4 linked regions of the Notamacropus eugenii genome follow. The protein of the gene in region 1 interacts with the protein of each later gene in a biochemical or structural test. Links are inferred from orthologs where the notes say so. Each region holds a gene or a part of one and is shown on either strand. Other genes may lie near its edges.

Evidence for each region.
Region 2: the proteins of TEK (region 1) and ANGPT4 form a complex in vitro, tested with the Homo sapiens proteins (2 studies listed by BioGRID and IntAct). The link is inferred for Notamacropus eugenii from reciprocal best matches to the Homo sapiens genes TEK and ANGPT4.
Region 3: the proteins of TEK (region 1) and ANGPT2 form a complex in vitro, tested with the Homo sapiens proteins (7 studies listed by BioGRID and IntAct, with this or other methods). The link is inferred for Notamacropus eugenii from reciprocal best matches to the Homo sapiens genes TEK and ANGPT2.
Region 4: the proteins of TEK (region 1) and ANGPT1 form a complex in vitro, tested with the Homo sapiens proteins (6 studies listed by BioGRID and IntAct, with this or other methods). The link is inferred for Notamacropus eugenii from reciprocal best matches to the Homo sapiens genes TEK and ANGPT1.

Annotation. Positions count from the first base shown.
Region 1 is NC_092872.1:117,273,015-117,280,965, reverse strand, and holds the start of TEK (angiopoietin-1 receptor), read right to left. Parts: upstream 3,353-7,951; 5' UTR 3,172-3,352; coding exon 3,120-3,171; intron 1-3,119. UniProt on the Homo sapiens protein: Tyrosine-protein kinase that acts as a cell-surface receptor for ANGPT1, ANGPT2 and ANGPT4 and regulates angiogenesis, endothelial cell survival, proliferation, migration, adhesion and cell spreading, reorganization of the actin cytoskeleton, but also maintenance of vascular quiescence.
Region 2 is NC_092872.1:432,577,471-432,585,449, reverse strand, and holds the start of ANGPT4 (angiopoietin-4), read left to right. Parts: upstream 1-4,545; 5' UTR 4,546-4,919; coding exon 4,920-5,219; intron 5,220-7,979. UniProt on the Homo sapiens protein: Binds to TEK/TIE2, modulating ANGPT1 signaling. Can induce tyrosine phosphorylation of TEK/TIE2. Promotes endothelial cell survival, migration and angiogenesis.
Region 3 is NC_092872.1:574,682,644-574,690,159, reverse strand, and holds the start of ANGPT2 (angiopoietin-2), read left to right. Parts: upstream 1-4,516; 5' UTR 4,517-4,955; coding exon 4,956-5,243; intron 5,244-5,627; exon of another isoform or gene 5,628-5,710; coding exon of another isoform or gene 5,711-5,734; intron 5,735-7,516. UniProt on the Homo sapiens protein: Binds to TEK/TIE2, competing for the ANGPT1 binding site, and modulating ANGPT1 signaling. Can induce tyrosine phosphorylation of TEK/TIE2 in the absence of ANGPT1.
Region 4 is NC_092875.1:142,145,644-142,153,765, forward strand, and holds the start of ANGPT1 (angiopoietin-1), read left to right. Parts: upstream 1-4,689; 5' UTR 4,690-5,325; coding exon 5,326-5,622; intron 5,623-8,122. UniProt on the Homo sapiens protein: Binds and activates TEK/TIE2 receptor by inducing its dimerization and tyrosine phosphorylation.

The sequences.
Region 1 (7,951 bases):
GCTATTGCTATACTCTGTAATGCTGCAGAACTTTTTGGAAGAGATCTGTAACTACTCAAAGGAATTTAGCCTGACTATCCACACAGGAAAAATCAAGTGGATGAAAAATGTTATTTTCCCAAATGTATTTAGATGGAAACCTGAAGAGCTTGTCCTTAAAGATGTATATCTGAGACAGAGAATGGACAATGAATTGGGCCTGGAGTTAAAAAGGAGAAAAGTAGGCTGAAATGAAATGAAAAAAAGTCCTTTAGTGTCCCCAGACTTTCCATGGAAACAAAGGACCATCTTTTAAATATTCTACCAGCATTGCTCTGTGACAACAAGACATGAAACATAACAGTTTAAGAAAGGTTAAAAATGAATATGACACAGACGGCAATGTAGAGGTCCATGGTGGGAGTAATCAAGCTGCAATATATTAACCAATGAGGAACTTCAAAGAGCAACAGCAAAGATGTATTCAAGGAAATGTATGACAGGAAAGAATCTTCAGGAGCAACATGAAATGTGAAGAGCTGGAATGCTCCACTGATACGCTTACAGTGTCAGGAGAAAGTGAGGAAGGCCTCCCAAATGTTGAGTAGGTCCCAATGTTTGACTTAGGGAGGAGCATGGACAAAGGTCTTACAAAATGGGTAGCCATAGATGGGTTAGGATGCATGTCATTATAGGAAACTCCCAAATCCATAAGGCAATGCATTCATTTCAGTGTTGGAGCATTGCTGAGGTCTCCTCACTGGTTTCAGTGCTTCCCATCTCTCTCCAGTCTGATTTATTTTGAATATTGCTTTCTAAATCACAGGTCTTATTGTCAATGCATAGAGACATGTTCCCATTCTCCACCAGGTGTGAGAAGGCCTTGATCCAGGGATGTTGAGTCCTCAAAATCCACTTCATGAAATTAAAAGAAATAACAGACCGATAAGAAAAACTATGAGATATATGGATTCGCCTCTTGAATTTTCAGGGGTTTGAATCTGTAGCTTGAAAATCTGCAGCATGAAATTCCAGTTGACCCATTCGTACTTAAAAAAAAAAGTTATTCCCCTTTCACTTACACATTGGAGAATAGCTCAGGAGGGTACTACACAAATTCTGTAAGTGGGAGTTCAAAGACCACTTTGGATCTTCCAATCTTGTCTCCTGTAACCGTTCCTATAATGCCTTATTTATGCTGTACACCAACAAAACCACACACCATTTCCAAAGGATAGCCAATGCTTCCCTCATCCATGTTTTTACTCATATTTCCCTCTGCAGAATGCTCTTTCTTTTCCATAAACCCAGCTGACTAACTTTTTACCATTTCTTCAGGGCCCAACTCAAAAGCTACCCCTTCTCTGAAGCCTAGTTGGAAGAGATTCTACCCTCCTTTAAAGTCAAAGAGCCCATTCTCTGAAGATTTCTGTCTACTTTGACTTTTTATCTTTTATCATAGTTGTTTGCATCCACGTCTCCTCCTATTAGACTGAAAGTTTCTTAAAAGCAAGAACTATGTCTTATTGATTTTTGCCTTGGCCAGGTGCCTCACACCATGCTTTACTCCCAGTCAACCTCGAATTCCTAATTTGTGATCCAAGGATGGATTTCAGGCAGTCTTTGAACATGGATGGGGGAAAAAACCCTATTCTTTTATTTTCACCTAAATGTGCATTTCATTTTATACATTTAAAATCATCATACTGGGATGGGGGAGGGGAAGAAGGCATAGGCTTCACTCAACTACCAAGGAGATCCATCATACAGAAAACTTTAATAACCTCTCTAGCCGAAGTTCATTTTTTTTTATAAAGTGATACTCTCAGGGAGGGAAGGAGGTGATAGTGATTAGGCCTTTGAAGATGTGGCTTGTCATAACATATGGCCATAATTGTCTATAACATCTAAGGATCAATGATTCTGAGTATGACTGTAAGAATATGACATTTAACATGGGTGCATATAAACAAGTTTATATATATATATATGTTATATATTTGCATATATCATAAGTATATATACATGGATATACATACATATGCCTATATTTGTGTAAATTTTTCTTTTTCTTCATGGATTTATAATTTTCTTTATGAAGGCCTTTTAATTTTTCCTAAAATTTCATCTAAAAATAATTCACCAAGAATGAACTCAGAAAACAGAGAGTTAAATTATGATGTCACCTCTTTGGGGTAATTTTTATTCCCATATAGTAACTTTCAATCCTATAAAATTTCTTTTTTATCCTATTTTACTTTTCATTCTCAGAAAGAAGAAAAATTACTGAGGCTTACAACATCTGTGATTTGCATATCAGATTTTCCTTATTCCTTTCTGGCTGTCTATGCGGGCAACTTGATGTGCAGAGACAGCCTAATATCTTAGGAATGTGAGTATCCAATGCAGCTCATTTGGAAAATCCAAGTTGAAAAAAAAAACCAATCTTTTTTTTTAAAGTAATGTGTTTGTCCCTCTCCTCTAAATTTTCTGAATAATTGCCTAATTTTCACTTTAATCTGTATAGACAGTCTAAGAATTGTTATAAATTGAAATGTGGACTTTTTTATTGTTTTAAATGAAAAGTTTATAAACCTCCATCACCAAAAATCAAAACCAATTTTTTACTAATGCTATGGTCAAATATGGAGAAATAAACAGAAACCCTAGATCTAATAATTTCTATGCATATTTAATGATTATAACTTTCTCTCAACCTTAAGGTAGTTGTTTTGCTCAGAATGGAATTTAAATTATTTTTGCATTTATCACTGAAAATTTTCTTTTTCCATCTCTCAAGCTCCTGTAAGAGGCAAGTAGATGCATCTTTAACTAAAAGATTACAAAAGTGGTTGCTGCGAAAGCTATGTAACATTAGCTGAGTTTATTCAAAGGACCAAAAATGGAACACCATCTATTATAACCCTTAGGACAGAACAGCACTCTAAAAAATTAACTGGCATGATAAATGTCTTACATTTTAATATTCACCGATTTTATTAAAAATTTTAAATGTAACAGAAAATTGGCACAACTTTCAGATACTTCCAGCTAAATTAGTGGGGGGACAATTGAAAATCACATTCAGTGGGAAAGTTCCAGGAAAATTCAGCATTTCTCTAAGTAAAGACAAACCTTACCTGAAATGATCAGGCTGACACCATAAAGAACTAATCGGGCTAAAGAGTTCATGCTTTTCCAAATCTCTCCATCCAGTTTCCACAGCCACACATGGGTTCCCAATGCTCCTTCACCAACCCTGGTCTTTGTGACTTTCCACAGGCATATTCTAGGGAATCTTGTTTACACGTTAGAGGCAAGAAAGAGAAGCACTAGAGCAGGCTCTAACAGTCTCATTGCTGTCTGAGCACAGGGAGTTGAAGTTCCTTTTTCCTGTTTCCTTTGTAGATTAGGATAGGAAAGGCTGGATCTTAAAGGCAATTGGTATCAGCAGGACTGGGAGGTTTCGCAAGCCTTGTCCATCTTGCAATACATCAAAACACTTCTCTGCTCCTGCTTCTGGGGTAGAGAATTGTATTTAGAGAACCAGTAATGGGTCACGGTCAGCATTGTCAGAAACAATGGGAGCATCCTCTGGTAGGCAGGATCCTGGAAATAACAAGCCCTCCACCTACGTATGGTATGTGATGATGGTCATCTCTTCTCCAGTTGTTCGCTGTTCCCAAAGGCCCTTACTGTTCACTTAACTCCCTGGCAAAGGCTTTTTTTGGGGTGTGGTGAACATGTTTTGGCTCCACATGGTTTAAATTTGAAAAGAAGTTTTATATGCTGAGACTATGGAATCCTATCTGAATCTAATATAATTGTCATTGGTGGGGATATCAGTCTGGGTAGCCTTTAGATTAGCTCCAAAGTTTACATGATGCACAAATCCTCCCTTTTCTCCCTACAACTTGCTGATGTCATAGGAATCACAGGATTTAGAGCGGGGTGGAGCTTTAGAGACCGTCTAGTTCAACCCAAAGAAGTCCGGTATGCCCAGCATGCCCAAGGTCACTCATGCAGTGACAGAAGTAGGTTCAAAGCTACATACTCTAACTCCAAAGTCTGTCTACTTTCTACATCACCACAGTGCCCATTAATCAGATGTTGTATCTATTGGAAAAACGCTTAAGGATACCAGTGCTGTGAGCTGTATTTTAAATCTTCATTAAAATTCATTTGTGGCTCTTTAGGTCCTGGAGCAAGGTAATTTGTGCAATCGATTTTGTGGTTATAAGCCACTATTTTCTAGGGAAATCCAAAATAAGTTACAAACATACAAGAAAAATGAGTCCATATGAATGAATAAAAATTAAGTGATTACAATGTTCAAAGCACTGTTTTAAGTGCTATGGATACAAACAGAAGAACAAGACAGTTCCTGCTATCAAGGATCTCACATTCAAATAGGGGGAGACAACACACACAGGAGGTTTCAGCTATAAGTTAGAAGGTGGGATCAAGCATTATTAAGTACCTACTATGTTTCAGGCACTGTGGTAAGCATTTTACAGATAACATCTTATTTGATCCTCACAAGAAGCCTAAGAGTAGGTGCTATTCTATTATTCCCATTTTATAGTTAAGGAAACTGAGGCAGGAAAAAGTTAAGTCAGTTGCCCAGGGTCACAAAGCTGAGAAGTGTCTGAGGCCCTATTTGAATTCAGGTCCTCTTGACTCTAGGACCAGAATTCTATGCATTGCACCACCTAGTTGCCTTCATAGTCTTTAGAATGTAATTGCAAAGGAGATGGTTATAGTAGGAGAGTGATAAAACTATATCTGTTTCCAATGCTGAATTATTTTAAAAGGCTAAGGTGGACAAAACATATTTTCTCAGTCTTCAATAGCTATGGTTGCTGAGGTGGTGGGGGATGTAGCACCTATAGAGGCAATTAATAGGTCACAGCTACATTTTTGCCTGGAAGATGAGGGGTCCAGGCTGGTAGCAGGGTTGATGGTCTAGAGGACATCACTATTCCTGGGGCTCTTAGGCTTACCTATCCATTGGCAGCAGTTCGTTCAATAATTGTTAGTAACGTTAGGGATGACTGGCCTACTTTGCACTAGAGTTATCTCCTTCAGTGATAACTGTGGCCTTTACAATAGAAATCTGTTTTCTGGTGGGGAGGGGCAACAAAATTCCTGGGGCTTTCGAGCTCTGTTTCTACTTGATTTCAAGGGGATGGTGCTCAAGGTGGTAGTGGTTGCTTGACCCATCTGCTGTATGCTGTTTCCTGTCTCTTCCTCAGGATGTCTTGCTGCTTCAGCTAAGCTGGCTTGCCTGTCCTGTTGGTGGTGGTTGGTCAGAGATAAGAACATCAAAGCATAGCTTAAAATTGGATTAATAATTTGTGAACAGAAGAAATAGAGTCAAAAAGTAAATACAATAGCCTATTTGGATATTTAAAATGAAAACACCTAGTGAAAGCAGGAATGACAGTCTTAGCCTGATGATAAAATAGTATTTCCATGAGGATGCCTATAACTTAAGTGGAGAGAAAATATGTAGCATAAATAAGGCATAAGCTCTTTATGCCTCTTTTTTTCAGGCTCACCAAAGCAAGGTTAAGAAAAGTAAGGTAAAGAAAGTTAAGATACTATGAAATCTTGTCTGAGGTTAATTCTGGGGTGTTGTTTAGGGTTCTGGGACCATAAAGAGAAAATAAAGTACCTAAATTTCCATTAACGATATTTCTACTGTACTTTCCAAGAGCAATTCAAAGAAGGTACAAATATGTTTGTAATGTGCATCTTCATAGCATTTATGAAAGGTTAGGAGGTCAGAAGTGTGCTCTCTATTTTAAGGATAAGGGAACTGAAATGTCCTGAGATGAGCTGGCTCTAAGCCACATAGGGAGGCAGTGGAAGGACTTAGAAATAAACAAACCCTAGGACTCCTGCCTCCTAGCCCCTGTTCTACCCAGTAGGCCAAATTTCCTTTGTTTGTTTTTTCATATGCCAACAAGGAAGTAAGTTTTATTAACACTCCCTAGAATGGGTCAAGTTCTTTGGAGCCTGAACGTGCTATCATGCCTCCTCTTCTGAAATCTTCCAGAAATTCTCCAAACGGGCTTTGTATGTTTGAAGAATATTAGTGATGATTATTAGTGTTATTATTGCATGTTTACTTAAGAATCGAAGGATGTTTTCTTGGATGTGCTATACCGTGTGAGAGCTAAATCATTTATGGGAGGGGAAGGCAATCAAAGGAGAGTATAGTCAGTTTTCCTCTGGCTTCCTGCCTCACAAATCTACAAAGTGTAGAAATTGTGCCAACATGCAATAATATGAATGTCACCCCTCAACCTTTAAGGAAATCAATTCCATAGCCAGAGCACTGAAAGTCACTGAATCAGAGATCACGACAAAATTTTCAAGGAAATGGAGAAGGGCCATTGGCTCATAGATGTCGAGCTGGAAAGGACCTCAGTTCAAACCCTGTTTTTACTGATGAGGAAACTAAGACCCAGGGAGGTTAAGTGATTTGTTGAATGTCACACAGTAAATAAGCAACAGAAGCAAGGTTTGAGCCCTGGTCCTTTGACTCCAGAGTTGTTGCCATTTTCCAGTTTTTGTGCTTGGGAGATGCCACAATCATCACTGTCTTAAAACAGCAAGCTTATTAGAGACACTGTTAAATGCCAGCTCCTGAAAGATCCGACTTGGAATCATCCTGAATTGGCTCTGGCATAACAGTAACAATCCAGGCACACTTGGAATCACATAATATTTTTCTACAAACTACATTTGCTGAATAACCACCGTACATTTGTATTATACCTCCAACAATAGTACCAGGGGAGGTGGTTTATTTGCTACTAACAGAGATTCATGTTGTTCTACTCTCATTGAATGTACATATGTGTGTGTGTGCACATGTATATACACACAGTAGGGCATGCAGAGGAATAGATGTGATGGTGGTGGTTGTTTTTCAGTTGTTTTACAGGTGCATCTGACTCTTTGTGACTCCATGTGGGGTTCTTTTGGCAAAGATAATGAATGGTTTGCCAATTCCTTCTCCAGCTCATTTTACAGATGAAGAAACTGAGATAAGCTGGGTTAAGCTTAATCACACAGTTGGTAAGTGTCTGATGCCAGATTTTAACTCAGGAAGATAAATCTTCTTGATTCCAGGCCTGGCACTCTATCCACTCTGTGTCACCTAACTGCCCATGGTGTGGAGTGGAAAGAATCTAAAAAAATCTGTTCCCCATGCCTGGAATGTTGTTTCTCCTCATCTCCATTTCCTGGCTTCCCTGTCTTCTTCTTTCAAGTCCTAGCTAAAATCTTATCTTCTGCAGGAAGATTGTAGCAGTTCCCCTTAATTCTAGTCCCTTCCCACTATTATTATTTCCTGTTTACCTTGTGTAGAACTTGTTTGTACATCGTTACATTATTTCCTCCACTAGATTATGGACACCTTGAGGGCAGAGACTATCTTTCTTTGTATCCCCATCATTAACACAGTACCTGGCACATAGTAAAGGCTTAATAATACTTATTGACTGACTGTAGTGCCAATGCAATATTCATAGCACCCACAGCAGTCATGAATACTGGGGTGCAATTCAGAATTACGAAATACCACAGGCTCTCTATAAAGAAGGCAGAACATTTATTCAGACCCAAATCCATCACAGCAACAAAAATCTATACACAGTAAGAATGCAGAGGACAATACCATCTCCAAGCCTTTCCTCTGCTAGGCTTCCCATAAACCATGTCCATTACACTCATCACAAACAGGGTCTCTTAAACAAAATCATGAAGAATCACAAAATCACTCACTGCTACCCAGGAGCCTGCATCCTTCCTCTCAGCTCTGCTCCTGCTCCATACATTTAGCAAACTCCTCCCACCACAGGCTCCATGTGACTTAATGGGCCTATTAATGAATAGGAAAGATTTTTCAATTCAAATTACCATTACACTGATTTTGGATCCTGTTTAGAGTTTTTGTGCA
Region 2 (7,979 bases), about 320 Mb from region 1:
ATAGGTGCTTAATAAATGCTTATCCTCTTCCTCTCTCCCCTAGATACTGACCTGACCCTAGGCAAGTCACTTACCCTCTATCTGCCTCAATTTCCTGAGTCATTAAAAAAAGGAAGGACAAGAATATCTACCTCACAGGGTTGGTGTGAGGATCAAATAAAATTATATTTGTAAGGTACTGAGCACAGTGCCTGTCACACAGTAGGTACTTATTAAGTACCAACTTGACCAAGTGCAGTGTTGAAGTCAACTGAATGTTTGTGGCCTTCTTGGGTTTACACAGTCCATGGGGCCAGAAAAGTGGGGTGTCACCTATTGTTATGGGGATCCCCTTCCTTACACAGTATGATAAAATACACACACAGTCATGTCTCTGCTCTGCTGCTGAGGAATCCTGGGCAAATCATTGAACTGAATTAGGCCCTGATTTTTCCATCTGGATGCTAATATCCTACCTTGAATTCACATGGATATCATGGAACTCAAGTGAAACAAAGCATGTGAAACTGGTTTGAAAAATATAACACAGAAGTCAAATTTTAAATGCTATAAATACATGTATGTATATATATATGTAAATGCTATATATGTAAATATAAAGTCTGTCATGACTTACATAATTAAAGAGAATAATGCTTAAACTAGATAGTAGTAGTCTAGGCTAGATTAAACTATAGACACCGTGGCTCAGCGAGAAGAATCCTGGAGCAAGAGGACTCCGGGTTCAGATCCCACTATGAACATTGTATAAACTTGAGCACTTAGTCACTTAGCCGGTTCAGGCCTCAGTTTCCTCATCTGTAAAATGAAGGGATGTCCTCTGAGAGTCTTTCCAGACCAAACTCTATTCTCCTGTGAAAAGTCTGCCATTGCTTCTTGCTACAGACTGCACTGGTCTCTCTCAGCTCTAAATATTACTGTGGATAAAGACTTGACCTTAGAGTTAGGAGCCCTGGATTTAAGTCCTTCCTCTGATCTCCCAGTAGGATGGTGGACAAGTGACTTAACAGGTCCCTAAGCACTGCTCTAGTACTCTGAGTTACAGACAAGGTGCCTAGTAGCAGAAGTAGAGTTAAGTTTCCTCATTTGAGAGTTCCCTAGACAACCACTGGGCCAGCCCCTGTCCCTATCCCTCTAATAATCCTGCATCTGTTCAGTGTCTAGGCCTGGCTTAGAACTCATTATCTTTCTCACCAAACCCATCCCATCTCCTAATTTTCCTGTTCTGTTGAGGTCACCACCATTCTTTCCATGACCCAGGTCCTCAACCTAAGAGTCATCCTTCACTCTCACTTATCCTTCCCACCCCCATATCCAATTAGATGCTGAGTTTTGTCAATTCTACCTCATCAATACCTCTCCTATATGTCCCCTTCTCTTGACTCATACTACAATCACCCTGGTCCAGGCCCTCCTCATCTCTCACCTAGACTATAGCAATACCTCCAGAATGGTTCTCCCTGCAAGGGAGGGAGGCAGCTATATTGCACATGGATAGAAAACTGGGCCTGAAGTCAGGAAGTTCTGAGCCTAAATCCAGCCACACACACTTACTAGCTGTGTGACCCAGGGCAAATCACTTCATCTGTTTGCCTCAGTTTCCTCATCTATAAAAAATGGGGATAATAAAAACACCTGTCTCCCAGGGTTGTTGTGAGGACCAAACATGATAATGTTGAAAAGGGCTTAGCAGGGTGTTTGGCACATAGTAGGTGCTTAATAATTGCTCATTTTTTCCCCTGCATCCAGTCTCCCCCAACCCACCCTACCATCTTAATGCAATCATCTCAGAGGCTCTTTAATCCAATCTCCTCATTTTGCAAATGAGGAAACTGAGACTATGAGAGACTAATTTCAGAACTGAATTTTTAAAAGGCAGGAGGAGGGTACTATGTGTTCATTTACAAAGGTTTCTGTTCAAAGCAGGCAAAAGGTAGAAACTCTGGATAGCCGAGGTGGAGGCCTGCTTGTATAGTGTAATGCGGATGTGGTCCTTGTGTTTGTCCTGAAGGGAGGCAGAGTAGACATCTCTAGCCTCTCCTCCCCTCATCCTTCTCCAAGGGAGACTTTATTCCATCCTCCTCAAGCTGTCATGCTGATGTTTTCTGACCATGGCATTCTTGTGCTCAAGAATCTTGAGTGGTTCCTTCCCTTCGAGATAACATACAAATTCTTCTCTTTGTCATTTAAAGTCCTTCACAGTCTGACCCCAGTCTCTTTTTCCAGGATGATTGCACATTACTTTCTCTCATTCTGAGCTCCAGCCCCAGTGGCTGACCTGCAACAACTCATATACAAACCCCCATCTCCCACCTTCATGCCTTCAGCTTGGAGTGAAATGATTACAAAATAGCCTGGTTTAAAGAGACCTCAGAGGCCATCTGGTCTAACCTTTGAACTGCCCCCCCCCCCCTTCCCTCCATGCCCAGCAGGTTCTCCTTGCTCCCCTCTGCCCCTCTTCAAGGATCAACTCCTTCATGAGACCTTTCTTCGTTCTCCAAGGCTTTAGCTCCCTCCACCCTTCAGTCCCCCTTAACTGTGTTTATTTTGTATACCTCTTGTATTTACTCATCTCTGAACAGGTAGCCTTCCTCCAATTAAAACCCAAGTTCCATGGGGTCAAGGACTGTCTCACTTTGTATCCTCAAGACTTTGCCATGCAGGAATAAATTAATAAATGTTTATTGATTGGTTGGTTGGTTGGTCACCCTTCACAGAATCAAAGAATGATAGAATTTCAAAGAGAAAGTAGAAAGTAGAGTAGTGGATAAGACTACTGGACCTGGAATAAGGAAGACCTGCATTCAGATCTGTCCTCAGACACTTAACGACCTTTGTGACCCTAGGCAGGTCACTTGGCCTTCATCTACCTCAGTTTCCTCATCTGTAAAACAGAATTAATAATAGCCCCTATTTCCCAGAGATTTTGAGGGCCAAATAAGATGATAATTATAAAGCACTTCGCACAGAACATAGTTAAGTGCTATACACATGCTGTTGCTGTTGAGCCATTCGGTTATGTCTGATCCTTTGGGACTCCATGGATCATAACGTGTCCATACTGTCCATGGAGTTTTCTTGGTAAACATACTACAGTGGTTTGCCATTTCCTTATCCAGTGGATTAAGGCAAATGGAAGTTAAGTGACTTGCCCAGGGTCATATAGTTTGTAAGTGTCTGAGGCCAATTTCAACTCAGATCTTCCTGACTCCAGGTCCAGCACTTTAGCCACTGAACTACCTAACTGCCTCCATATAAATGTGAGCTATTATTATTATTAATAAGATCAAATGAGATTTTGTAAAGTACTTAGCACAATGTCTGGTGCGTAGTACTGGTACTTAATAAATGCTTATTTCCTTCCTATAAAGGGCCTTAGAGATCACCTAATCCAATCCTCTCTCTCAGATAGATGATAAAATTGACCCTCAGAGCAGTGTAAAGTGACTTGCTCAAAATCACACAAATAGAAAACAAAAGAGCCAACTACTAAACCCAGGACTTATGACAAGTCCAGTCTTCTGTCCACCAAATTCCTCAATATACAGCATTCTACATTTTTTTCCCCAAGATGGTCTTTTGCAGACATAACTGTATTTGTTCCTCATCCAACACACCTGTGAAGGAGGCAGGGCAGGGATCACAAGTGCCCTCATTTGACAGAGAAAGAAACTGAGGCCTTGATGAGAGATGAAGAAACTGATGCCCAGAGTGGAGCAGCGATTCTCAGAAGTCAGACTCAGAGTGTTCTGTGACCTCCCCACTTCCCTTTCTAGTGAACCTCTCTGGCTCCCTCATTTCAGTCTCCCATCCCCACAGCTGGGAGCACAAACTCTCTTCACAAAAGACTGTGTTGTGTGTGACCATCGTGGATTAGCCAAGGAATCATCTTCTCCTTAATGTCTCTTTCTGTAACCCTTCCCAGGTCCAGCTGGTCCTGATCACACACTGATTTCCTGGGTTGTGTCCATGGTGTGAGGAGAGGAGGGGAGAAAGAGCTGGGGATCTGACCTGGGGTTCAAGCCTCTTCTCTCCAAATTGTTTTCTCCCTACATAGGGAGGGAAAAAAAGCCTCCTTCCCTCCTCCCCCCTCCCCAAATATTTTTTCTTGGGGTCATTCCAGCTCTGGGCCAATAGGTGGCCAGCCAGATTAATGCTAAGCAAGAGCAGGGTAAAGTTGGTGGTGGGGTAAGAAAGCCCCAGAGTGGTGGTGGAGGAGAGGGAGAGGTTGTGTGAATAGGGGAGAGTGAGGTTGGGGGGGAAGGAGGGAGGGGAGGGGCAGGGAGGTTGAAATTTGAGCTCTGAGCTCTGGGAGTGGAGTTGGGGGAAAGAAAAGAGAGATTTGGGGTTGGTGTTTGTGAATTTTTTTTCTTGCTGGGATGCGGCGTTGGGGGAGGCTGCTAGACAGTTAAGAGGACTTATAGGGGCGGAGAAGAGAGGAAGAGACTGCAGAGCAAGGGAATGAGGGAGGAAGGAAGGGGAAGATGAGGAAAGAATAGAGGTGAAGGGAGGGTGGGGGGAAGAGGGGGAGTGTGGAGGGGAGAGGAAGCAGCTTCGGTATTTAGAGCGAATATAAATAGCCTAGCTGTGTGGTTCCCAACCACAGCCTCCCTGAACATTTCAGCGGGCAGGGCTCCTCAGCTGTCTGTCTGTCTGTCTGTCTGTCTGTCTCCTCATTCTGACCAGGGACAGAAGACAGCAGCCTGGCCAAGGGCAGAGGAGACCCAAGAAAGGTTTTTAACTGTGCCACCTCCCTAACACATACATACCTCTACATACATAAATACACACCTACTCATACATATATACACACAAACACATATATCAATACACACACACACACACACACACACACACACACACACACACACACACACACACACACACACTCCACAACCTGGGAGGCCCTGAACCAAATCATGAAGACCAGCACCTTCTTCCTAGTCCTAACCACTGTGGCCACAGTGAGCACCCAGCGGAGGAGGGCCGAGGGCAGTGCCCATCGCCGGTCCCACCGGGTCCAGCACGGTCAGTGCAGCTACACATTTGTTCTGCCGGAACCTGAGCCATGCCCATCAGGGCCAGAGGCCTTTGGCAGCAGTGCCAATACCCTACAGCGGGACTCCCCAGCAGAAGCACTTCGGGGGAATGATTGGTCAGTCCAGAGGGTGCAACAGTTAGAGCGCGTTCTGGAGAACAACACCCAGTGGCTACTGAAGGTGAGTTGGGGGAAGGGCAGGGAGGGGGAGCCTGCTTGGAGGAGGGGGGGGGGGCACTGTGGCCCCTCGAGGACTTGGAGCTGGACTGGGAAGTTTTAGGGCCCTTGGAAATTTAGATTCTCCTTCTACAGTCAATAATGGATAAAAAAATCAGACAAGAGCAAAGGGGAAAGAATAATCCGTAGTCATCAAATGTCAGTGATGGAAGGGTCCTTAGGAGAGTCAGTTTGGTGCAGTGGAAAGGAGACCTGGGTCCATTTGGGTCCCCATGCTCCTGCTTCCTAACTTTGGGCAAGTCCTTTCCCCTCTTGGAGCCTGAGATGCTCTTTGCAAAATCAGAATTTGGAAGGAAGGGGAGAGACATGACAGCTCCCAGAAAGTATGTGGAGGCCTGTCATATAGAAGATTCAGCTTAATCTGCTAAGTTCCAGAAAGGAACTATGAGATCAAAGGGTGGAAGCTCCAGAGGCACAAATTTTGGTTTAATATAAGAAAATGCCTTCTAACCATTAGAGCTGTCTAGAAGTAGAAGGGGGGGGGGGGGGGGAAGAGAGAGAGAAGGGAGGAGGAGGGGAGGGCAGGAAGTGAAGGGTATCCAATCATTGGAGGTCTTCCAGCAGAGGATCCAGGTCCACGTGTCCAGGAATTCTTGCTCAGGTATAGGGTAGACAAGACAGTATCTGAATTCCTTCTAACTTTGCGATTCTGTGATCCAGGGATTCAGAGTTTCTGTGATTCTTAAAGTGCCTAATGATTCCCATCGTACCAACTTCCCTGGGTGATGAGGAGAGCTTTGTAAACGTGAAAGCAGTAGAACCGTGAGCTATTGTTGGCATTACTGCTATTGACATAAAGCATAGCATTAGCGCTATCAGAGACCTTATAGGGTATCTTGTCCAAACCCTTGTTTTACAGATGAGACTTGTCGAACCCAGAGGGCAGTGACTTGTTTAAAGTCACATGGGGAGTCGGTGGCAGAGCTGAAGCTAGAAACCAGTTCTCATGTCCCAGCTTGGGGCACTTTCTACTACATCCTGATCAAATAGGATCATTTAGATGTTTATTTTCTTCAATATAGTCCCCAAGGTTTATTTACAACACTTCACTACAACCCTGTGAGATACAGTAATTCTAGGATTATTAACCCTGTTTTACAGATTTATAGCAATGGGATTTTTGTCATTTTGTTATTCAGTTTAATACAATAAACATTTATTAAGTACCTGCTATGTAGTAGGTCCTGTTTTCAGTGTTGGGAATACAGAGCTAGATGAGATACAGGCCCTGCTATAGCCAATAGAGTGCCAAGTTCTTGAGCCAGGAAGACCTGGGTTCCAATCCTACTTCTGGACCTGGACAACTAACTCCTTTAACCTCTCTGAACCTTAATTTCTTCACCAATAAAAGCAGGGGGGAAGGATGTTTAGACTAGATTGCCTCCAAGTTCTCTTTCAGCTCCAAACTTATGATTCCTATAATCCAATTAGGGGAAGATTTAATACACAAATAAATAATACAAGGGGGGAGAGAGATAAGTGCAGAGAAGAGAGCCAAGGAATCTGCTCTGTGGAATTTGAGACAGGAAAAACTCTGGAGTAAGGTAGGAGGATTAGGGAAGACTTCATAGAGGAAGTCACACATGAGTTGGGTCTCAAAAAAAAAATGGAGGGAAACATAAGGTTATAATCACTTGTCTATAAATGAGGCTCTGGGAGGGGCAGGGGTCTGGTGGGGACCAGAAACCTAGATTCTTCCTACATATTCATTGCAGAGATAGCACGGTATCTCACCTCTGCTACTTATGGCTATGTGGTCATTGATAAGTCCCCTGTCCTCTCTTCACCTCAATCTCTTCATTGCAAAATGAGGTTAACCCTTTTAGTGCCTGCTTCACAGAACTGTTGTGAGACTCTGGTAAGATTGCATATGTGTGATCTTGAAGGCTTTATAGCTACTACATCAAAGCCTCCACTTACCTATTCAAAGACCAGTTATTAAGTATTGAACATATTCAGGACACTGTGCTTAGCAGCAGAGAAGTTAAAAAAAATCATCAGAGAAGTGGCCCATGGACCTTCCAATATAACCACGGGGCATAGGACACAAACACAAATATACAAGATTGTACAGTGATTCTGACATAGAATATCATAAGAGAGATTCAAAGAGGCCTTTAGGATGGAAAGATCATTTCTGATTGATTAAGGATGGAGTGAAAGGAGAAAATTTCAAGAAGCAGAGATGGAGGTAGAGAGGAAATAAGAAGTAAAAAGACATTTTAGGCATAAGAAACTGATTGAACAAAAAGGAGGGGGTGGGAAAGTGAGGATATAGAAAATGACTTTGAGTGGTTCATGGTGGGGAGGAATAAGAGGTGAAGCATGAAAAGTATCTCAGAATCCCAACTGCATCTTAGCATTAGAAGGTGCTTAGAAGCCACCTAGTCCAAATGACACCTATAAACATCCCCAAAGAGACCTTTTCTTGAAAACCTCCAATGATGGGGAGCTCACTACCTTATTCAATAGCTTGTTTCACTTTCAGATAGCTCTAGTTTCACAGGATAGCCCTTCAAATACTTGAAGACTCCTATCCTGCACCCACCACCACTACCAGCACCAAGTGTCCTCTATCCCAGGTTAAACATTCCCTCCTACTTTAGCCATTTTTCACATGATAGGACATACTATAAATGAATAATTAGTTGGACCTAGAATTGAACATGAGTAGAAGCAAGGACAGATTGCCTCTGGGAAATTG
Region 3 (7,516 bases), about 460 Mb from region 1:
CAATAGGCTTGTAAGAATTGGCAGATGTGATTCCAATCTCAGAGATCTTTGACAACAAGAATTGTGCCATGGGACTTGAGAAAATCAAATGTTATGCAGATTTTCAAAAAATGAAAGAGGATGGAACCTGTAAAGGATAGGTCAGTAAGCCTGACTCAGTATACTCCTGAAAAAAAATTGTAGAACACATTATTAAAAGGATGGTTTGTAACAGCATAGAAAGGGTAGCAGTGGTCACTAAAAATCAGCATAGCTTCATTAATTTCAGTGATGTGCTGAAGCCAGTTCAAATCAGTGTGGGAAAGCTAACTGTTAAATTTCCATTGTGAGCATTTGTACCCTGGAAACAAGGACTCGATTTATTATTTTGCTAACTGCCTCTAGGCTTAAGAAAGAGATGAAGAAAACGGTAATAAAGGAAGTTAAATCTAAAAATGTGTTGGGTGTACATTTTTCCCTAAAGGGCTGGTTGCTAAACATTTATTAGCAAAACTTTGCCAAATTTCTTTCTTTCTTTCTTTCTTTTTTTTGACAGTTTTATAGGCTAGTAGATCAGGTTGATATGGTATATCGTACTTGAGGTATCAGGTAGACATGATATATTTGGTTTTAGCAAAACACTGAATGAAGTCTCTTATGTTTGGCAAAATGGAGGGATATGGGATCTAGGCAATAATGCATTTAGGTAGACTTGAAATTGTTTGATTGACTAGACTCAAAGAATAGTTATTGATGAGTTGATGACACATGGATGGTAAGCTCTAGTGCAAGGTTTTTGAAGAATCTATTCTTCACCCAAATCATAGAAGTCATTCTTGTCAATTTTGCTGGGAGAAATAGTTACCATATTGGCAGAATCTAGATTTTTTTTAAAAGTCTCAATAGATTAGTAGAATGAATTAAATTGAAAAAAATGAAATTGTATGTAGGTTCTATAAATCACGTTAACAATCACAGGCAGAAGGCATAATGGTTAGAAAATAATTGCTGCAAAAATGATCTGGAGTGTTTTAAATGAATTTCCTGCTCAAGATGGGTCAACAATGTGACATGGAAACTGAAAAAGCTAATGCTACTGTAGACAGCCTTAAGAGAAACATATGGTCCAGAATGAGGTAGTATGTAATAGTTTGATTAAATTCTGCCTTGATCAAATCACATGAGGAATAACATGCTCAGTTCTGGCAACCACATTTTTTTAGGAAGGGTACCGAAAAGCTGGAAGAGGATCAGAGGATAACAGCCAAGATGAGGAGAGGAAGAGATTATGCCATATGAGGATCAATAGAGAAGCAACTTGTAACCTTTGGTTCAGAGAAGAAAAGACTTCCAGAGGCCATGATAATCTCAAATATCTAAAGGGTTGAATGACCGATTTGTTGAGGTCAGAGACAAGTCCTGTTCCATTCTTAGATTCTGTGATCATAAAATGCAGTATGGCATAACAGACTAAGCAAGTAATGACAACCTTGGACCCAGGAATAGTGGACATCAAATCCCACCTTAAACTCTAGCTGTATTTTAATGAGGCATTTAAACTCTCTTGGTTTCAGTTCCTTATCTGTAAAAAAGTAGGAGGTGGACTAGAGAATCTCTAAGATCCCTTTTGGCTCTAAATCTATGATCCTGTGATACAAAATCCTAGTTCTTAAATTATTTCACCTTCGATTTCTTGGAGGGGCAGGCAGGAGTGTCAGGGTTCTAATCTGTGATTCCCTTTGTTTACAGAACTGGTAAGGAAACTCTCAACTAATGCAGATCAGCAACTGCTATGCACTTAAGAATTTTAGAGAGTTGAGTCATTGAAAGGTTAAGTGATTCATCTAGGGTCATACATATGGCTGGGGATGTGCTCAGGTCTTCTTGATTCTTTATCCACTGTACCATTTTTTCCCCTCTTTTTGATTACAACCCACATTTTAGTAACTTTGCTTTATATAGAAGAAGCCAAAGCAAAGAGGTAAGGTGCTAAAGGTTCCTACTTAATCTTGTTTTTAGCTTATCCCTTTCTTTTGAGGAATGGCTATTTCTTTAGAGCCCATCAAGTTGGATTTCCCTCTCTAATAGCTAATAAAAGGCACAGAGAGAACTTGGTCATGTTCTTACAAATGATAATGGGAAATAGCCAAAAATCACAGCTGACTAGATGTAGTGTATGAGAGAAAACAAACATGATTATATAAATAGCAAAACTCAAAGCTAGAGTAGAGCTAGAGAAAAGAAAATTGTTGGGCAATGCAGCCTGGACTGATTGGGGAAGTCAGAAGGAGTATTTTTAAATTTTATAATCTCATCTGCCTCTAGTTTTCATCAACAAATCACTGGAGATAACTTCAGATTCTCTGTGATAATTGCCAGTTTCAAGCCCCACAATCAAGTTTATGGAACACCAGAAGGAGATCTGGACTATGCATATTTAGCTTGTAAGTCCTCAGAAACTTCACTGTACTCACAGGCAGGGGAAGAGAAGAAAACCTGGCTTTGTAGCTATTCCTTTTTTTCTTGCCAATTACTAGTAAGAGACTAGTATTGTGTTCACCATATACGCTCCCACACATCTACATATCGTCTAACCTAATATATATAATATAATACAACATAAGGAGGCAGCGATAGTGCAATGGAAAGAATACTGGATTTGGAGTCAGAGGACCTGCATTTCAAATCCTTCCTTTGTAGCTTAGTACCTGTATGACTTTGAGCAAATCATTTTGCTTCCCTGGACCTAAGTTTCTCTGACCATAAAATGAGAGGGTCACACTAGATGGACTCTGTCATCTCTTTCAGTTCTTGATCTATGATCCCCTAATCATAGAACAATATGTATAAACGTGTGTATGTATACATATGTGAGTGTGCATATAGAATGATAGATACAGATATATGTATATACACATACAAACAAGTAACGATTCCAGTGAATAGTCATGGAAACACAGGGGTGGGGAACCTAGAAGGTCACATGTAACCTCAAGAATGCAGCTTCCACACCCCTGGGGGTCTATGATAAGGGGGTAGTGGAATAAAAACCTGAGTCTTTGAATTAGGGTCACCAATCCAAATTTAGCCCATTTGAGGTTAACAGTAGGTGTTTCTATCTGAAGGGAGATGAATATAGGTGAATTGAGCATTGAGTTAGTGATGCCTTAAGTTGAAATTGCCTATAGCTACGTTATCCTCTAACTGTGTCTGCCGTCACTACTCAGTAGGATTTAAACACCAAATAATTGGAAGAATCAACTATCTCTTTTCTCCAGATATAACTCGGAGAGAAACAAGTTGGGAATGAATTCACAGAATAGAAGAGCTCCCCCCTCCCATCCCCACCCTCAGTGTCCTCTGATTAGTCCTTTAAAGTTATCTCAGGAATCTAAGCTCCAAATCTGTTAGTCCTTCAGCTTCTAAACACTCCATATCTAATTAAGATAAAAAAACAAAACAACAAAAAAAAAACAAAAACAAAAACAAAATCCCCAATTGTTTATCTTGTACAATGGAATAAATATTCTACTCCTTCAGCCTCTGGACAGACTTACTGACCCTCAAAATTCTGAAGATAGAAGGAACCTTTTTCTTTTTTTAAAACCTGCAGCTCTAGTGTAGTACAGTGTCTGGCCCAAAGTAGGTAGGCATTAAAATGATCAGTTTTAGAGATCTTTTTTAACCAGTTCTCTTATTTTATAGCTAGAGAAAAACTGAAGCTTAGAAGGGGAATAATTTACCCAAGATCATACAATTAGTTAGTGACAGAGGAGTTGATCTGACCAGGCGTATCCCAAATAACACAATGGTGTGGGTGGTATGTGTGCTTTTAAAGTAATTACTATGTTTAAGTGGCATGTTTGGTCTTTTACTCCTAACAAATGATATGATTTCTAAGCTATATGTATGTTATATAATATATATGTATATATACATAAACACATATGGTATATTGAAATTCAACAAGGCATCTCCAAGTTTACTTTGAATATTCCAAATATAATTTGGTAACAAACAAAAATTTTCAGGGCCAAGTCAGGGCCAAGTCACTGACCCATGTAAACTGATTTACTAAAATGATCCAATCCTTCAATGATATTTTTACATTAAGATTCAGTATATTTAGGCAAAACACTCATGGTTCAGAATTCACATAACTTGGCAATTTGTTTTCCTTATGAAAGGGTGGGCCTTTTAGAGTTTACATTAGCAAAACTTCTTCCTTTTAATTTATAGTAGTTAACATAAACCAAAGTCCTGATATATCTGTAGCTTTTTACTTAAAAGAGGAAACAGGAATTTTCATTGTACTTCAAAATTAAAAACTCAAAACATTTTAGAAGAGTAACACTATTACACCAGCTTCAGGGCTGTGGTGCTCAGTTTAGGAAATACTTTGTTAGGGTGGTGCTTATAAAATACCCAGGGGTCCTGTAATTGATCAGTTTTTCCCAGAGGTTTTCTCTCTCATACTGTATTGGCTGGACAGCAGTAAGCTCTGATTTTCCTGTTGCCTTGTGAGTGACCCCCCTACAGGAAGATAACGGAGAAGCCAAGAGGGAGGAGCAGTTAAGCTACACATGTCTGGCTGCTCTTATCAACTTATCATATAAGGAAAGGAAAGTGATTGATTCAGATACCGACACTGTAGAATTTGCTCCAGAGAAACAGAAGAAACACCCAAGCTTACTTGTAAAGCTAAGCCAGAACACACAATTGGAGTAGGACTGTTCTTTCTGCTGGCATCTCACCGTTTACTGGACGACTGGAAAGAAAGCAGCATTTTGTTTTGTTTTGCTTTGAAATCAAATTTGCTAGTAGAAAAGGTGGGTGGGGGCAGGAACCCATCGACTGTCAAGAGTGTACTTTACACATGACAGCATAGCACAGCATTTCAGAGGACAAATGAATGATCTGGACTCCTAAGTGCACTGAAGTTTGCTAAGTTGGCTGCATTCTCCCTGAACGAAAGTATGTGGCTGATTGTTTTCTTTACTTTGAGCTATGATCTTGTCTTGGCGTCAGCCTACAGCAACTTTCGGAAAAGCCTGGACACCATAGGGAAGAAGCAGTATCAGGTTCAGCATGGATCCTGCAGTTATACCTTCCTATTGCCAGAGATGGATAATTGCCGCTCTACTTCTAGCTCCTATGTGTCTAATGCAGTGCAGAGGGATGCCCCATTGGATTATGATGACTCTGTGCAGAGACTGCAAGTACTTGAAAACATCATGGAAAATAACACTCAGTGGCTCATGAAGGTAAGAAAATGACAATTCATATGGTTGCATGAAAAACCAAAGTTCTGTTTTCACTTTTTGCTCTAATAAACAAAACAAGCTTCACCAAAGACAGTTCTTTGAACTACCACTTATTTTTCTGTATCTCAATGCATAATCTCATCTAGGCTTGCATGAAAAGGATACCACAATGAAAAATGAGCAGATTTACCTCCAAGGTGGAGAGTCAGTGTTAAAGGGCCGTGTGTGTGTGTGTGTGTGTGTGTGTGTGTGTGTGCGTGTCTGTGGCATGGAGTAAGCAGGAGGGAGGGTAAGTATACTTCTCTGCAAAACAACTAGGCTGTTTTGTTTGTACAAGCAATTTAAACTTAGTAACAACAATTACTAACATAACTGGCTGCAGGCATGTGAGGGAAGTGGTGAGCAGCACAACAGCGCCAGGACAAGGAAAAAACGTGCTAATCATGATAATTACTGATAAATAGCGGATGGTGGCAACGTTACCTTCTGGAGTAAGTGCTTTACCAATTTCCTGAATTTATTTACTGAAACCAATAATAGCTTTTTGGAAAACGAGAGGAAATTAACTTAAATAGACCTTATGTTTTCCAGAAACTTAGGGTTTTTAGTCAATGGGTCTGTCGTTTGTAAACCGTTTGTACTGTTTTTGTCAAGTGTTCTTTCTGAAGGGATTCAGTATTTCTCTTAGAACCCAGTAAACTGCTTTCAAAATAGGTCCACATGTGCTTGATGTTAGTTTCAGAGAGATGAATTTATGCTGTGTAAAGATCTGCTGCTTTTTACTCACTCTTTTTGTTCTTATTCTCACTCTCTCACTGTGCCACAAACTTTGAAAGAAATGTATGATAAAAAAGGCACTCTGGAAGCTAAGTTGTTCTTCAAGAAGCAATTATTTCCTCATGCAAATTTTATCTCATGGATAAGAAAACCAAAACCTTCTAAAGTTTCTTTTTACTGAGAAAAAGAAAAAAATGTTTTCAATATAGTACTCAATAAAATAATAATTATGCATGTGTGATGGAAATAATGTCACAGTTTGGAGAGACATGTCATTTATAATTATACAAATAACCGAGGTAACTGTCAGTTCTCTACCAAAATTTCACCCAGGAAAATATCACAAAGTATTTTCTCCATCTAGAGCAGAAATATTTAATTTCCTTTTCAGCTGTCTATTAGCAGCTATCACATCTTAATCTCATAACAGATATCTGCCTGGCTTTTTATCCCCTGCTGTGAATCCACTTAAAATAAGGGAAACCACCGAATGGCACTGAAGGTAGGAGCCCATCTATACAGGAATGCATCCCCTCACCATTATTCCTCAGCTGAACTAGTTCTTGGTTCAAACAGTGTTTAACTAGTTAAAAACTTCCAAGAAATGATGGCAATACTAACTTACTCAATTTTTTAGAAAACTCCCACCATGATGATAACATCTGTGAAAAGAGCCACATCAGCTGTGTATATTTTCTGCTAAAGGTTTATTCTTTCTTATCTTTAAAACCTTTTACACTTCTGTATGTACAAATAGCTCAGCTAAATTTGGGCGATATTCAGCAATACAGGCTCACATATCTGAAAGTCCTAAATATCTACCTGACACTAGCTTCCTATTTCCTTCTTTCCATTGTTATGTTCACACTTAATAATCTACTCATTTTAACTGTGACATGGGTAAAGGCCAATACTAACAGAACCTCGGTGAGGGATGAAAGAAATAGAGCAGTAAACACTCCCTTCTATCCAGCTAGTAAGTCATTTCCTAAATAAACAGTCAGGGGATATAAAAGATTGTTTTACAAATACAACATAGTTTAATTGTATTTGCTACAATTAAGGCCACCTCCAGGTAACTAAATCTAATCATTCTTTCTCAGCCAAATATCCAGTTTTCCTACAAGTCTGAGAATGTTTAATGAAGGAAAAAGTTAAGCAACCCTATTCCAGGAGTTGCTTAACCTCAATCCTATTTTACAGGTTCCAGAAATCAGAGTTTTATGGGGCAACCAGTGAAAATACTTCTTTACTCATGAATATAATTATCAAATATTTGAACAAAAATACAATAGTGTTCCAGAATGCAGCCTTTAGACATCCAGCTAAAATATCACCTAGAGTGACTTAATATTGACTTTGCATCTGCTTAACACCTGCTCTGTTAACCCTATCTAATAGACCTAGAAAGTGCACCTGAAAAACTCCCTGGTATTGTTATTTACACTTGGCTGGCAAACAGAAGCAAGAGAACAAATAAAAAACCACCACGCGAT
Region 4 (8,122 bases), on another chromosome or scaffold:
AAGGAAATACCTGAAATGTGAAATTAGAAAACTATTTTTCACGTACAGGTTGGAATAGGCGTCTTGTTCAATTTCTTCCAAATCTAAAATTTTCTGACTCCTTAAGTCTGGAAAGGCAAGCCAAAGACCAATTGTGAAGGATTTTATGTGCCAGGATAAGGAATTTGTTTATTGGCCTATAGCCAGGATTCTTAATTTGGGCTCCGTTGGTAGATTTCAGGACTTTTCAGTCTTCATCAAGATGACTAAACTGCCTCAGCATCTGAGACCTCTGTATCCTGGGAAATCTATTAACTTCTTACCCTGGAACATCCCTCTGCAAATGCCAGTAGCTTTCTCCCAGTGGTAAATCCTCCACACAGCCTTCATTTTAAGGAGGTTCCCAGGCAAGCCATTCTTCATGCTTCTCTCAGTTTTCCTCCTGACTTTGCCACCATTTTGCTTTTCAACTCCTCTTGTGTGTTGTCTTTCCCTTTTAGAATATAAACTCCTTGAGGGCAGGAACTATATCATATTTTACTTGAATTTGTATCCCCAGTACTTAGAACAGTGCCTGGTATGTAGCAATTAAATAATAAGTGTTTGTTGCCTTGACTTGTCATAAGGGGATCAGTGAGTGTAGATGGAGAGGAAATTACATTTTTGTTTTAATTAAATTGGTTTCCTTTCTAAGTTTTTGTAAATATTTTTCTGAGACATATTTTTTTTGTATTTTTTTTCTGAGAAGGGGTCCATAGACTTTACCATACTTCCAAAAGCATCTGTGACATACAAAAGATTAAGAATCTCTGACCTATAGGTTATAATAGGGAATCATTTAAGATTTTTCAGCAGAGAAAGGACATATCAGATTTTGCTTTAAGAATGGAGGGGGAGCCAACCATATATATACCTAATAAAGGCAGGAATGTTGCTAGGCAAGAGAAAGATGATAACCTCACCCCCTAGATTTGGTATTTGTTCTTATGTCTTTCTCCCTCTAATTTACTTGCATGGAAGAGCAAAAGAATTTTGAGGCTGGAGAAGGAGGGGCTGATCTTGGATCCATTAGGCTTTTGATCATTTAGGGAAGGTAGTACTGCAGCTAAAGACTCCAGGTTAATCAAGAAGTTAGAAGCACAGCCAATTCTACAGCCTCATGTCCACTGCAGCTGGGCCTCACAGGGACCAGCAGCAACCATGGGACCACTTTTGGTTCCATTAGGCAACTACCACATGAGACCAGGAAGGAAAAATGCCCATCAGAAACTACATGCCATATCTACCTGTTCATCAGAGACTAGGTAAGCAGCCAAGACTACACATATGGCAGAAAAGACACATGCATCAGAAAGAACAAGGTGGAGCAAGCCCAGTGCGGGTAGCATGACAATATCATTGGAATACATTCATGACTCTACAGCCCTAGTTCCACCTCTGAGCCTTGGTTGGCCACACTTGTTCTTTGACTGTGTACCATGTGTTTCTTATATATGTCTCTCCTTTTCACATTAATGATGCAGTGTATTTAGGAGAGTCTGAACCAGATTTATGGGTAAACTACTCTATTGCTTGGCACCCTAGTTTTAAAAGTTACCCTAATTTTGTTGAAAGACTTTTCCTAGAACTAGTTGTGTCCTCTGTATGACCAGAGAAAGAAAGCATGGTGATGGACGCTTGTGGGATATGCTCTTGAAAAGATACTGCGTCACAGAAGACTTTAAGACTTATTTGGGGAATCCACAATAAGAACTGAGGTGCCCCAAGGCATTACAGCAAGATCATTTTCGCAAATGCATGGAAGCTAGACTAGAGAGGGGAGAGGCTGGGAATACAGCAAGAACAGGAAATCAGAGGCTGATGAAATAGTTTAGGTGAGAGGTGTTGAGGATTTGAGGTGGGTGGTGGTTGTATGAATGGAGAGGAGAATAATGCATGAGACAAGTGTGGAGAATCAAGAAGACTTGGTGACAGTCACATCTTCAAATGGTCTGAGTGTTTCCTCCCTTGAAAACTCAGCAGCTGGGGATGCCTCTTTTTGGAATAACCATTTCCTATTGCACCATACTGGGAATTTCCCACTTGTCATTCATTCAGATAAGACAAATGAATACACACAAAGATGTGAGCACACACAAACACACACACATATACATGCAAGAACTGACGTAAGTATTGGCTATTTAAATACATGAGAGAATTATAAGTGAGGAATATTGATCATCCTTTTATCCTCTGCCAATTATTTGTTGGATTTTGTTCTTAGCAAAGCACTTATAGGTGTTAGCTTTGGAGTCTCCTTTTCATGAATAACTTTCAAAGCAAAGATTATAAGAAAGATTTCTTAGAAAAGCTTTGCTTTCTCATATTATTTTTTGAATTTGGGATCTACCTCTCCCACCCCAAAAATTAATCATAGGATCACAGATCTAGAGCTGAAAGGGATTTTAAAGGTCACATAGTATAACCTCCCAGGAAACTGAGACCAATAAAGGTTTAAGATCATAAAGTAGTGAATATCAGAGGCAGGATTTGAATATAACACTCTGATTCTGGGAGGCAGCTAGGTGAAGCAGTAGATAGAAATCTAGGCTTGGAATCAGGAAGACCTGAGCTCAGAGCCAGTCTCAGGCTCTTATTAGCTATGTGACCCTGGGCAAGTCATTTAACCTCTGTTTGCCATAATTCACTGGAAAAGGAAATGTCACACCATGTCAGTATCTTTGCCAAGGAAACCCCATAGACAGAATTGGCGTGCTGTGGCTACAGGTTACAAAGAGTTGGACACAACTGAAAAACAATCGTGATTCTGGAGCCCAGTGCTTTTTCTGCCACACTACAATTCCTGGAAAGAAGGGGTTTTTTTGTCAAAATACTCTTAACCTTTGCTCTTTCAGGTAGCACATACACTGCTTTAAACATGAAGGTCTGTTTGCAAACAGGAGACTATCACTTCATCCAGCCTGAAAAATTTCTGTGCCTTCTAGCACCACAATACAGTGATAGTTCTTGTTTATGTGTGTGAAATTTCAGTAAACAGGAGACAGAATAAAGGTGTTGCCAAGGATAGTAAAGAGATTTTTACTGCCATAACTGCTTTATTTTTTTAAAATGTCACGACAACTTCTTTCTATATTGATTGTATCTCCAAGGATTTGTTTGTTAAGGAATGATAAGAAGGGATAAATCCTAGTACCAATTTCCCAAAGCATGGAGTTTGACTGCTATTCCAGATTTAACCCTTCCTTTACACAAACTATCCTTACACTTTCACACTTACCCTAGACCTGGAGTCAGGAAGACCTGAGTTTAAATTTGACCTCAGACACTTCTAAATTGTGTAACTCTGGGAAAGTCACTTAACCATGTTTGTTTCAGTTTCCTCATCTGTAAAATGACCTGAAAAAGGAAATGGCAAACCACTCCAGTATCTTTGTCAAGAAAATGCCAAGAGTCAGACATAACCACTGTCATTACCTCCCTTCTGCTTCTTCTTTCTCCCCTTCTCTCATCTGAAGGACCTAATTATTCTGTTGCTTACACAAAGGGCACCCTATTCTTAAGATATGGTTGCAGTTGTGGTGATGCATTGTTTATAAATCCTTTAAAATCCTGGGATCACAGATTTAGAGCTGTCAGGAGCCTTGGAGTTCATTTAATCCAACTATTTGATTTTTATAAATGAGGAAACTGGCCCAAGGAGGTTGTAACTTGCCCAGAGTCACAGAGGTAATGAGGGGTAAGCCAAAATTTGAGTCGGGTCCCTCTGATTCCAGAAACTTCACTTTCCACTGCATCATACCCACTAGAAGCATGGTGTTATACCAAATCCATTTTTCTTACATGCTGATTAAAATTCCTTTAGTATCACTTGTACTTTACATTTCACTGATTATTATTTGATTTGGAAAGCTTATGCTCTATCTTCTTGGAACTTTTTTCATTTAAAACTTGTTCCTTCATTAAAAGGTGTATCTAAGTTCTCTTGCTACTGAGCTGTAGCCCTTCTTGCTGTAAGATCTCTGGAGAAGAGGTCACTACAGCCGTAATGAGGATTTATGTGGAACTTGGATAGTAGAGCTAGGGAGAACCATAGCAACCCCCAATGAGGTCTTTGTGATATACATGATTAGGACATACCACAGGAATTAATAATTCTTAGGACACTCTCCTAAATTGTTACCACATTGTTTTTGCAAGGAAGTTGCTTCATTTATGTACACAGAACAAAGAAAAACTGCCTTCTGAGTAGGCAGTTTCTTAAGAAAGACACCCCCCATTTCCCTGCCCCCCAAAGTCCACAAAACCCCACGGGGGGCTTATCCTATTTAGCATGCATTGGGGAGGTGGAGAATTGAGGAACAAGACATAAAATCATTTAACTCTTTATACTCGATTTCCCACGGCCCCCTCCTTCCCGTTTTCTTTGGCATCTGAGAAAGCTTAATACGTTCAAAAGGCTAAACTTTTATTTAAAAAAAATTATGAATTTAAAACATCTTTTCTTAAGTTAACAAACTTTTGAAAATAATATAATTTAATAAACATTGTCCAAAAGGATTCCTCAAGCGTAGTGGAAGAACTTTTCTTTCAGCGCTCCCAATATTTAACTGGAACTTACAAGATACTTCCAGAATGCCAGGTTTTAATAGGTCGGGGCTGGAACACCCAAAGTATATTAAGGTGGACTGCTGTATGCTTCGATTCTCTGAGAGTCCCTGAAAGACTGAGCGCTGCTTTTCGAGCAGGAGGGGCTGGGCGGGCAGCTATACATGATTGAGGTCATGCGCATCCAGCCAATTTGTAAGACGATCCCTCCCGCACTAAGCTGTCGGCAGTCCTTAGCATAGGGGCACACTCAGGCATTCCTGTCAAGTCATCTTGTGAAAGGCTGCCTGCTTCCAGCTTGGCTGGAAAGCGGAACCTTAATAAAACTCACTGAGGTCGGAGGGAAAATAGCAGTCCGGCTGCAGATAGGGTAGAGGCAAGGGGCTAGGATGTGTACATGCTGCTGGCTACAACAGGCTGAACAGTGCTGAACTGTTACACAGAAAGGAAATAATAAATCTCCGCTACCATGCAATAAATATCTCAACTTTTAACGAAGGGAGCTATCATTCCAGTGAAATAAAATTGAAAAGTTTTTTAGCTAAAGCTACCAAATGAATCGTTTTCTAGGATTCTTCTTTCAGAGCTGACTTCAAAAAACCACCCAAAAGCATTTTTTTACATGCAATAAAAAAAAAAAATACTGGTTAAAGGACGAAGGAAGAAGTAACTGGGGGGTAGTTAAAAAAAAACAAAACTAAAAGTTGTGCCAAGGCAGACAAGAAAGGTGCTGATACCATGACAGTTTTCCTCTCCTTTGCTTTCCTTGCTGCTGTTCTAACTCACATAGGGGGCAATAATCAGCGGAGAAGCCCGGACAGCAGCGGGCGAAGATACAATCGGATTCAGCACGGACAGTGCGCCTACACCTTCATTCTGCCGGAGCAGGACACTAACTGCCGAGAGAGCACCACGGATCAGTACAACACCAACGCGCTGCAGAGAGATGCTCCTCTCGTGGAACCGGATTTCTCTTCCCAGAAACTGCAACATCTGGAACATGTGATGGAAAACTATACTCAGTGGCTGCAAAAAGTAAGTGCTTGCTTTCAGTTTCTCATTGTACTCGAGTCCTTTATCCAGGCTTGCCCTGCAGATAAGTTAGTTTGCTCAGTGTGGTGGGGGAGAAGGGGGGGAGCGGCTGGGAAGGGAACTTTTGTTTACATGTTGCTTGGGGGAAAGACAGTCGCTCAAGTAACTGCAGGGCTGCTTTCTGTATGGGACTTCCTTAGCAGGGGAATCAGACTGTTCCAGCTTGTCCTGGCTGGCGAAGGGGGGTTGGGGGTGGGGAACGGGGTGTCACAGATCTTAGAGTTGGTGAGTTTACAGAGATTTTAGCCCAGGTGTGCGCGGTCCCCTCAGAGCTGTCAGTGATGGCACAAGTATGAAAATGTGCTTCTCATTTAGGACCTCAGAATAAATGTCACCAAAACATGCCTCCATGTTCTGACTGTCAGCACCTAAATTGAAGAGTAGTAGCTCTTAAGAAGAAGTTTTATTTTTTCGGGAGTGGGGGAATGACTACAAACTCTTCTTTTTGGAGTGGAGAATGTTGATGGAGGAAAAGCAAATCCACTTCACATCAAATCTCTTTGAGCACCGGCAAGGAAAAGTGTCATAAATTAACTTTTGACTTACCACTAAATAAGTATAAAGTAAGAATGTTTGTAAAGTGTAAATAGTGAAAATTGCAAGTGTTTAATTTCTAGAAATGATCCTAAAGGGTAATGTAACCATTTCTGTTCTATGATAATTCTAGACTTGAGAAAACAGTAAGATCAGAGATTTTAAGATAGAAGTCATTAGGGGTGGGTTATCCACCCAAATCTTGAATGGATAGTCAAGCAGCTATTGGCTGTTAACTTACCAGTGCACCTGCAGAGGATGGGATGCAGTACCTATTCAGTTCTTCAATCCTGGAGAAATGAAAAATATTTTCTTTTTTGGCACAACTGTTAGATATACTTCTACTGAGCAAGATTACAGAGTGTTTGGATGACAAGATTACACCTTTTGGGGCAAATATTGACTGAAATTATTCCAGTTTTTAAAATCATATTGAGTCAGTGGACATGTCTAGACAGAAGGTTGGCTACTTGAGGGTCTTAACTGAAGACACCTCTCAAATAGTATCACCTTAATGGCTGTGTCTCATGCTGTGGTTTTCCTTGTGTGGCAATAGATGATTTTTACTGAATGTGTGAGATTGGCCATATCACTGTCTCCAGGTTTCAACAAAATGTGTTCCAGCATCTAGGCATTTGGCTTTACAATAGTTATGTCATCACTTAGAAAACAGAGATCAGAATGCAACCAGATTTCTCAAACCAAGTTAGGTTCAAAACATTTGAGCAGAAAAGTGATGGAAAAGACAGAATGCTATTGTGTGTGTGTGTGTGTGTGTGTGTGTGTGTGTGCATGCCTGTGTGTATCTGTGTCTGTGTGGTCACACTTCCTGAGTAAACTGCTTTCTCCATCATGCCTTTGAGGTTTGTTGTTCTGCTTTTCTCCACTAGGGACTGAACTAAGATCACTGTTTCTTTTCTTGGCATGTAAAAAAACCTCAAAGTAGGAGACCTAGGATTTTAAAGTCTGGAATTGAAACTAGTTCTCATCCCATACAAGTGCAAATCAGCAGGCCACAGGTGACAAAAAAAAAAAAAAAAAGTTGATGAAGAAAGAGAGTAGTGATTTAAACCATTCATCATTAATAATCTTCATATAAGTTTCAGGCAAAATCTCAAACCAGCCTGAATAGAGAAGCAGCAGTGATCCTTCTCCAGTTGTCTCCTGGTTCAAGAGGGAGGCCCACAGTAGGCAAATGAGTTTGACTTGTATAGTATCCCAGTTATTAATATACTCTCCATATATTCTTTTATTAGAATTGGTCATTGTAAAAGTATTTTCTGTTACCTGTTCTTTAAAAAAAAAGTGCATTTTTTTGCTTGGAATATTTCAAAAATAGGTGTACTATAAACAGCATTGGGCATGATGATATTAACATAGTAATGTATGTTTTTGGTTCTCTGCATTTAATAGCAATCAGGGTAACTATTAGTAGACCACAGGCTGAAGATTCAAATTCAGCAAATAATTCCTTTCAACAAATGTGTTTTGCTTTCTGTTCTTTTGCAACAGGAAAAGTAATGATTATATGAGAAAACAAAATATCAACACACATTTGCGGAAACCTGTTTTTCATAATATTATTCTATCATTTGGACATGTGGACCACCTAAGCGTTAACATGTGAATTTTGGTTATCATACCAATTCAAGTGACATTAAACACATTTTGTTTAGTAATTGATCATGTCTTCCTTTTTACTATATTTTCCAAGCATAACCTATAATTTTGAGGAATGATGCATATGAATCTTCTCTTTCAAACTTACATTTATTCAGAAAATATATAAAACTTTTGGATGTATTCACCTTTAGTTTATGTCAGTAAAATTGTACCTTTACTGAAAATGTTTCTGCTATGACTCTAGCAGCTTCTCTGGAGTGTGGTGGGATGAAATTTACATTATAGC